Oryctolagus cuniculus: one gene and its partner. The protein of the gene in region 1 purifies or fractionates together with the protein of each later gene. This does not show direct contact. Links are inferred from orthologs where the notes say so. Each region holds a gene or a part of one and is shown on either strand. Other genes may lie near its edges.

Evidence for each region.
Region 2: the proteins of TGFBR1 (region 1) and SMURF2 purify together in Homo sapiens (affinity purification with western blotting; 8 studies listed by BioGRID). This does not show direct contact. The link is inferred for Oryctolagus cuniculus from reciprocal best matches to the Homo sapiens genes TGFBR1 and SMURF2.

The regions. Positions count from the first base shown.
Region 1 is NC_091432.1:202,741,037-202,745,050, reverse strand, and holds the start of TGFBR1 (TGF-beta receptor type-1), read right to left. Parts: upstream 2,802-4,014; 5' UTR 2,709-2,801; coding exon 2,621-2,708; intron 1-2,620. UniProt on the Homo sapiens protein: Transmembrane serine/threonine kinase forming with the TGF-beta type II serine/threonine kinase receptor, TGFBR2, the non-promiscuous receptor for the TGF-beta cytokines TGFB1, TGFB2 and TGFB3.
Region 2 is NC_091448.1:14,048,283-14,052,555, reverse strand, and holds the start of SMURF2 (E3 ubiquitin-protein ligase SMURF2), read right to left. Parts: upstream 2,807-4,273; 5' UTR 2,670-2,806; coding exon 2,528-2,669; intron 1-2,527. UniProt on the Homo sapiens protein: E3 ubiquitin-protein ligase which accepts ubiquitin from an E2 ubiquitin-conjugating enzyme in the form of a thioester and then directly transfers the ubiquitin to targeted substrates.

The DNA of each region.
Region 1 (4,014 bases):
AGAAATAGAAAGCAGAAGCCCTGTCCTCAGGGTGCCTGTACTGTCCCTGAGCACTACACGTAAGTACAGTTAAGTAACTGTAAGTGCTACACAGTCCAGGGACAGAGTTCAAGGAAAATTAAACTAGTACATTAAGTCAGGACCAGAAATTTGTGTCTCCACACCCGTCAAAAAGGGGCAAAATTAATTATGTATTGAAAAGGTTGAACCATCAGGAGTGTCAGTGGGAAAAAGGAAGTCATGGGAACCGAAGGTCTGCAGTAGTGAGAAGTGGGGTGGCTACTCAGAGATGGCCCAACTCAGAAGCCTCGAGCATCGTTCTTAGTGCACACACATGGGGCTCCGGTAAGCCCTGGTGAAGTGGCAGGGGAAGACTGGTTGAGCAGCAGCTCACAGGAAAGCCATGACAGAGGAACACTAGAAAGCAACCAGATTTGGAGATCACCGGCAGGACTAGGCTGACGGCTATCCACCAAGGAAGGAGGGGGTACTCGAGGCATCAGCACAAAGAGTCGGACTGTTTGCAAAGAAAAAAAGTCATGAAATTGCAGAAAGGAAGCAAAACAGCATTCTCGCGTGGGGTATAATGCAGGCACGGTGGAACTAAGCTGCACTAGGGACAAGGAATCAGCTCTAGAGAAATCCATGTTGGAGAGAGCAGAAGCTGGGCACAGAAATGCAAAACAGATCCCCAGACAATAAGGAAAAACCACCAGTCTTAAAAAGGGAAGCCAAAAAAAAAAAAAAAAAGAACTCTTGGGTTGCCTCAGAAAGCATGAAGGCACAGACGGAACCCGAACACACCTAAGCAGGGCGCCGGGAAAGTGGGGTGGTCTGGGCTGTGAGTAACCAGCATCCAGGCCAGCTCTGTATTGTATGTGTGCCCACACAGACAGTCAACTCCAGGGCACCACCCAGCAGCGTTCTGTCCCTCCAATTAAGTCGAGTATGTGCTACCCTAGGTGGAAAACAGTGACTGAACTACGTCACTCAAGTTAATAATGGTGTGGAAAGTTGCCTGCTTGATGCAGAACTGTATCAGTGTATCCCACCTGTCCACAGTTATCTTGCCTCCCTCCTGAGGCCAGGTCAAAACCCTCTGTTTCCTCTAATACAGGCCCATGGCAAGGGACTCAGGAATGTGTCAGGATGTAGAAAGAAGTCAACCTAACACTCAAATTGTGAGGCCAACATCTTAAGGGATGAATACCAACTGCTTGTTAGATGATGGAAAAAGAAAAAATGGGCTGTGCCAGATAGTTGGTGTATGGGTTTTGGAAACTGAGAGAGCTGACAGCAAATCCTAACCTCAGCACTTAGTAACTGGTCCTCACCTCTCTGCAGCTCAGCTTTCCCAACTACCAACGGGGCAAAGGCCAGCAGCCCTTAAGGGTTAGTGGCAGAGACTGGACAATACGCTTTGGCGTGCTTTTTGCATTTGCATCACAGTGGGCTCTTAATAGACAGTAGCTATTAGGATAGCTGGGCACCGGTCTTGAATTTGCTTTTGTTTAACACTTGTTCCATTTCGCTGCATTTTCACCCAAGTTCTCTATTTAGCTTCTATATTTTAGTTCAGTCTCTAACAGAGTTAGGCACTCCACCCTTCGCCAGGGTAGGCACCCACCACCTACTCCAACCTGGTTTAGCGACCAAAAAAGCTGGGCAAACAGTCTCACTTGAAAAGCGGCTACACAGACGTCTGATTCAAGCTGCTAACTGCCACTCAAGAAAAGGAACATCAGGAGCGACGCTCCTTCAAAGAAATAAAAGCGTTTCCATTCAAACACTCCCAACCCCGCGGAGTGAGCAAACGTGCAAGTTTCTACTACGAAAACAATCCGTAGCCTTCTGGCGGCTGGACTCGCTTCAACACTCCCAGACGCACGGAGAGGGAAACAATCCGCGCATCTCGTGCCGCCGCCGCCTCCTCAACACAAAGCTTCGCAGCTCCCCTTGCCAAGCCACCCCGGCCCGAGAGGCAGCCGCTCCCCGCAGGTCGGCTCGGGGTCGCGGCCGGCGCCAAAGCCCGCGCAGCCCTGCCGCCCCGGGGGTCTCCACCACGCGGCGGCCCCTCGCATCGCTCCGGAACGCCCTCGAGGCTCAGGGCTCACAGCCCGCCCGGGAAGCCTCCCCGGACCCCAACTCCGCCCCGGGACTCGGAAGAAGCCCCAGGCCCAGTCCTGCCTGGGGGCAGGGGTGCCCGGAATAAGGCCACGCAGTGACCTGGAGGACGCGCCGGGGCAGCCTGGCTCGGCCGGTCCGGTCCAGCCTCACCCTCCGCCCCTCGCCCACTCACGCCCCAGAGGGCAGCCCCCGACCTCGGACGGCTCCGCCTGACGCCGCCTCTCCTCCGGGGGCCCCCGGAACCCGGGCGGCCTTGGGTTGTCGGCCACGTCCACGCGCACTCGGACACACACCCCCGCCGCTCCTCCGCTGCCCGCCTCAGCTTCGCCTGGCGGCCACCAGCCCCTGAAAGCCCAGCCCGGGCCCCGGCGCCGCCACCTGCGCCCCCGGCCCCGCGCCATGTTTGAGAAAGAGCAGGAGCGAGCCAGAGGCCGGGCCCGGCCCGCGCGCCCCCGCGGCCGCCCGCCTGCCCGCCCGCCGCGCCGGGGCTCACCCGTTGCCCCCGGGAGCAGCGTCGCTGCCGCCGCCAACACGAACAGGAGCAGCCGCCGGGGACGCGGAGCAGCGGCCGCCGCCTCCATAGTCCCGCTGCCGCCGCCTGTGGCCCGGCCCGGCCCGGCCGCCGCCTCGCCTCAGCAAGCCTCGCCTCGCCCCACCTCCCCCGCCGCCGCGGCGGCCTCGCTCCGGCCCTTTGTAACTGCTCCGGGGACGCGCGCCCATTGGCTGCCGGGCCCCCGCCGGCCCCGCCTCCCCGCCGGCTGCGAGCGGCCCAGCGGGACCAGGCCGGGAGCCCCGCCTGCGGGCCCGCCAGGCGACCAATCCGGGGCAGCGGGCTCCGGCCTCCGGCCACGCCCCACACACTCCCCGGGGGCGGTGCCGCCAGACCCCTTCCCCAGCCGGAGCGAGCTCCGGGTTCCCGAGGCCGGGTGGGGGTTGGCTCTCCCGAGCCCCAGTGGGCGATGGGTGTGTCTGCTTCTGGCTAGCTTTCGAAAAAAGGCTGCGGCCGCTCGCCGCTCTTTTCTTCTGGCCTCCTCTTAGACACCAAAGAGCTGGTCCTGACCCAGCCCCACCCTGGCCCCCCCATCCACAGCCCTGCACCTGCAGTCGGTAACACAAGCCGCCCACATCCGCACTGTCGCGGAGCGCTTGCATCCACTTCAGCGTCCCCTCCCCAGACCCACGCCTCAAGTTTCAACATCACCTTTCTCAGTGCCCATCACATGCGACTCATCCTGCTCTTGGCGTACACCCCATACCTAGCCCCCTCCTCAAATTCCAGGCCCAGAAAGTTCTCAGATCTCAATCTTAGATCCCAGAGCCCGAATCCAGACACACACCTCAAATAGCCTCCCTCCAGATCACGCCCAGAACAGGGACCCAAGCCACTCTCCTACCCTCTTTTCGACTTCCTGATTCAGGTTGGAAAGGGAGAGCCTGCATCCCACCCTCCAAGGAAGGGAATCTCCGCTCTCAGCCCCAGCTCCTCCCGGGCGGAGGGGAGCAATCATCGTTACCTTGAGCTGTCTCTGATTCGCCTGTGTAATAATTCTGAGGTGTCACTGAAAACCCAAATAAACTCCACTACGTTTTCATTCTGAATTCCTAATTTACTGTGAGACGCTCCACCCACCTTCCCTCTGGGATGCCAAAACTAACTCCAGATTTGTAATTCTTCCTGTCAGACTAGTGCCTTCTTCAGACACAAACACAGCCAAGGAGGCTGTGTTACGCAGCACGGAGAACGATTCTCCGAAGGACCTTTTAAGGAGAAAATGTGAATTTTCTGAGCGATTGGAATTTGGAATTAAATAAAGCTTGGTAATCAGAATCAGAACCAGCCGTCTAGTTGGGATTTGCAAATTCCTTGAGAGCTAGTAGGTGAGAATG
Region 2 (4,273 bases), on another chromosome or scaffold:
AGTAACTACAGTTCACAAAGCACCTTGGAATCAAAGACACTATAAATTTACAATACTAGTCTTCTATTAAGTTAAATAAAGCAAAGAACAATAACTTTAAATAAAACATCTTATAGCCCAAGTGTACTATAAAAAAGTAAAAAATTCACTGTGGGGATTTTTTTTTTTAGAAGAGATTTTTCCTCTATTAGGGAACCTGGATCTAAATGAACTGCTAAACACTTAGTCTAAAGGTATGCCAAACATTTCTTAAGGTCCTAACAAAGAATCAACTTTTTTTTTTTTTTTTTAAACAAAACGAGGCCTAGGTTAAATATTTTATTTGGCTTCTCAAGATGGACTGAGAAGTTGGGCACCAGCTCCAGACCAATTCCTGGACGCACATCAAACACAGCCCTGTCATTTATCCAGTCAGTCAAAACAATCTTTTCCATCTAACCCTTTAATGTTTATGTCCTAAAAAGCTGCTAATTGAATCCAGCTCTTGAAATCTATTTGTTAAAATCTATACTGTCTAATTTGTAAATGATGAACTAAAATGAAAAATATATATATATGTTAACTTTCCTGGCAAAACAGAAGAGATTCCACCAAATGTAACCACAGGGGAGGGCAATATTTTTAATATCTGTCAAATTTTAAGAGAAAACTATTCAGAAATTCCCAATGGTTTTCAGAAATTGAGAGTACCTCAAACTGTTTTTACAATTAAGGGGACAAAGGGTATTTAAAATCCCTCAGAACAATCTAAATATACAAAATCATTCTATAAATGTAGTCCAACATTCCCTCTGCCCTGAAAACAAATTAAGTGTAATCTTTCCTAACAAATCTAATTTTACTCAATTTTTAGAATGTATCATGCAATAAGGAAACCACAGATAAACACTTTATGACCTACTGAATCATATTAAAAATCTCAAAACTCACGTAATCCGCAGAAAATCAAAATCCCGATTTCCCTCCCCCCCTCCATTTTCTATGTACGTGTATACAGCCCAGAGGGAAGTCAATGGCAACAGCCCATTTCTGATGCTTTGTGCACATCTGGAAGCACAGGTTCCTTCGATGCTCACTGACTCCAGATAGGAACAGCAACAGATACCTCTGAAGCAACAATGATTCCTTAAAGGATTTCCCACAATAAAGAAACTCAATGGAGGAAAGGAAGACAAGCATCCTTCAAACCAGATTTTTCCATTAAGAACCACTCAGTTAATGGCTCTTCGCAATTTTCCCCAAGGAAGGCAAAACTTTCATGGAGGTAATATAGTTTTAAAATTGCAGGCAACTCAGGCTAACTTCTCCAATACCAAATTCACTGCAGGTTATTATCTAGAAGGTTCAGCCAGTGGACTGGAAGGTGACACACAGCATTCAGCTACAAAATTAGTCCGTATAAATCTCAAAGTCTAGTGTGGGCAAACATAATTACAGTTTATTCTGAAGCGCGCGGGCGCACGCGCAGGTGCCCGTGCACGCACACACACACATACATACACACACCAATCTAAGGAAAACCAAATTTCTCACCACACATCCAAATATAAACGTGTTCAATTCATTAACGGTGAAACTAGAATGATGACACACTGATTTCAACTACACGTTCCCAAGCAAATATAATTTTTTTTCCTTAAAATGGGGGAGATATGTTGATATAAGAAAACCAGAAATAGCTCTATACACAAAACGCACCTGTAATAAAGATTTCACGCACCTGGAATCAAACACTTTTTAAGACTAGTCTTCTATCTAGCAAACCCCTATGGACATTCTTTTCCATTTAGAAAAGGGAAAGGGGAGGGTGGGGAAAGTGAGAGAAAGTTCCCTTGAAAGTTGTATGAGTACACTTAGCCAAGTACCCTCGCCCCTTTAAAAAAAAAAAAGTGTTTAAGGCAGGTCTAGAGTTAGCAGGGAGCCACAAGTCCTGCGGCCTACAAGGAACAACTCAAAACATGCTACCCTACAATCAAACACTTCCAAAACACAGAGCGTACAATGAGCCAGAGTCGTGGGATCAGCCAGACACACCGGAAAAGCCAACCTCAGTCTCCTTCCCTCCCCGAGCCGCGCGGTCAAGGTGTGTGGCACGGCCGCCGGGGCTGGCAGCCGAGCGCGGAGGCTTCGCACGCGGGCACACAAGTTAAGAAGCCAGGAACGAACGCGCGCGCACACGCGCACACACACACACACACACACACACACTCACACTCACACCCTCCCGTTAAGCGCTCCATCTTTAAGGAGTGTTTACTGCGCGCAGCAGCAACCGGATTCAATAATCCCCTCCACGACCCCACCTGGGCAGCCTCCCGGGGCCGCTCCCCGAAGCCCCCGGATTAGAATCGGACCCCCCGGCCGACACTCCCCGACCTCCCAACTCCGCCTGCGGTTCGAGCCGGCGTACCCCTCCCTTCCACAAAAGACCCCCCGACTCACCCTCGGGCTTCCCAACCCGAGCGAGTGCTTTTTCCAACTACCTTCTCTGAACTAGGCCCTCCCACGCCCCCGGCCCCCGACTCACCATTGATCGCGACCCTGGCCCTTCCCAAGGCCACAGGCACCCCCCCGCCGGCTCGCCCACCTCGCGGCCGCCCCGGCCGCCCCCCCTCACCTGTCAGGCGCAGCTTGACGGGCCCGTTCCGCCGGCCTCCGGGGTTAGACATGTCCCCGGCGGCGGGGACGGCCGGGGCGGCGGCGGCGGCGGCGGGGCTCCGGGCCGGCAGGCGGGGCGGGGGCGACGGCGAGGCGCGGCGACCGAGTCACCACAGCGGCCGGGGCTGGGGCCCGGGCAGCCGGCGCCGCGGCCGTGGCGGCCGGAGGGTCCCGGATGTGCCGAGCGTCGTCGCCATGAGCCGCGGAGGGAGCGGGACGCCGAGCTCCCCCCTCCTCCCACTTCTCCTTCCTCGGCCCGGGCCGCACAACAAAGCGGCAGCCGCGGCCGGCCGCGCCGCCTCCGCCCGCGCCCCCGCCGCCGCCTGGCAGTAGCCGCGGCCTTCCCCTCCGCCCCGCTCGGCGAGGCCCGGGAGCCGACGGGACCGGCCGGCCGGCTGAGGCGGGCGGTGCTCGGCGCGCCGCAGCAGGACTCAGGGCTCGGCCGCTTCCTCCTCCACCCGCCCTCTTGTCTGAGGGAGCCGGGTCCCGAGGCCGCCGCCACTCGTCGGCTTCGGGGGGCGGGGAGGAGATGGGGCGGGGGCGGGGCCGGCGGCGGGGGCGGGGCCGGGGCGGGGCGGGCCGGCGCGCGCCTGTGCCCGGGGCTCGGGGCGGGCGGCCTGGGCTCCGCCTGGGCGCGGGCAGGGGGAGGCGGGCGCGCCCCGCAGGCCAGGGTCCGACGGGGGTGCTGCAGGGAGCGGGCAAGGGGCCAGAGTGGCGCTGTGGCACCTAGAGGGGCTTCGTGTGCAGCCCACTTCAGGTAGAGCGTGTACCGGTGCAGGACCAGCTGCACTTATTAGACGCCTACTGTGTGCAGGGCGCTCGGAGAGAGTGCGGGTGCTGGGTGAGGAGTGAGTCCCCCGAAGTCAGCGTCTCCCAGGCGAGGAAGGATAACTTTTCCCACTTGCAGCGTCTCTGCAAACCCCCAGGAACTGCAGTTGCCACCACGGCCCAGCACTCACCTGATGGGCGAGATCAGGTTACCTGCTCGCTGTTTCTCCAGCTGCGGAGCGAGGACTGGGAGATAACACCAACGCCTTGAAGACTGTCACCCAGATCAACCTTGGACAGCTGTATATGCAAAGCCTTTTCAGTACCTTGTTTCGTTATCTCAGGAGGAAAAAAAAAAGTGCACCTTACACTTTGATCCTGCACTTGCACTACTAGGAATTTATTTTTAACAAATACAGAACAATACAGAAGACGTTCTTCACGACGTTTGGATAACAGCAAGAGGGGAGTGAGCCAAGGGCCTAACAGTGGCTTATATTACATCAGCCGAGTTTTTCTGGGTGCAGCCATTGAAATGGCAATTATGAAGATCCTTTCCTGTGCAAAAGTGGCACAGTGAAACGCACAAGGACAACAGCGCGGGGGATTTCTCTGTGTGCGCTTTGCTAGTTTACTTAAGGCTGTTCCATTAGTGGAATGTTCATTGTCTAATAAAATTAATAATTTTAACCCTAAATCAGTGTCAGTCATTGCTTTCAGTTCATCAGTGAGGTCAGTTGATTCTCCGGGGAAGTGACCTCCACAAACATTTGATCAGTCTGAATGCAGCCCTATAATTAAAGTGACCCAACAGACTAGAAATACAAGGGACAGCGCTAGAAATTCA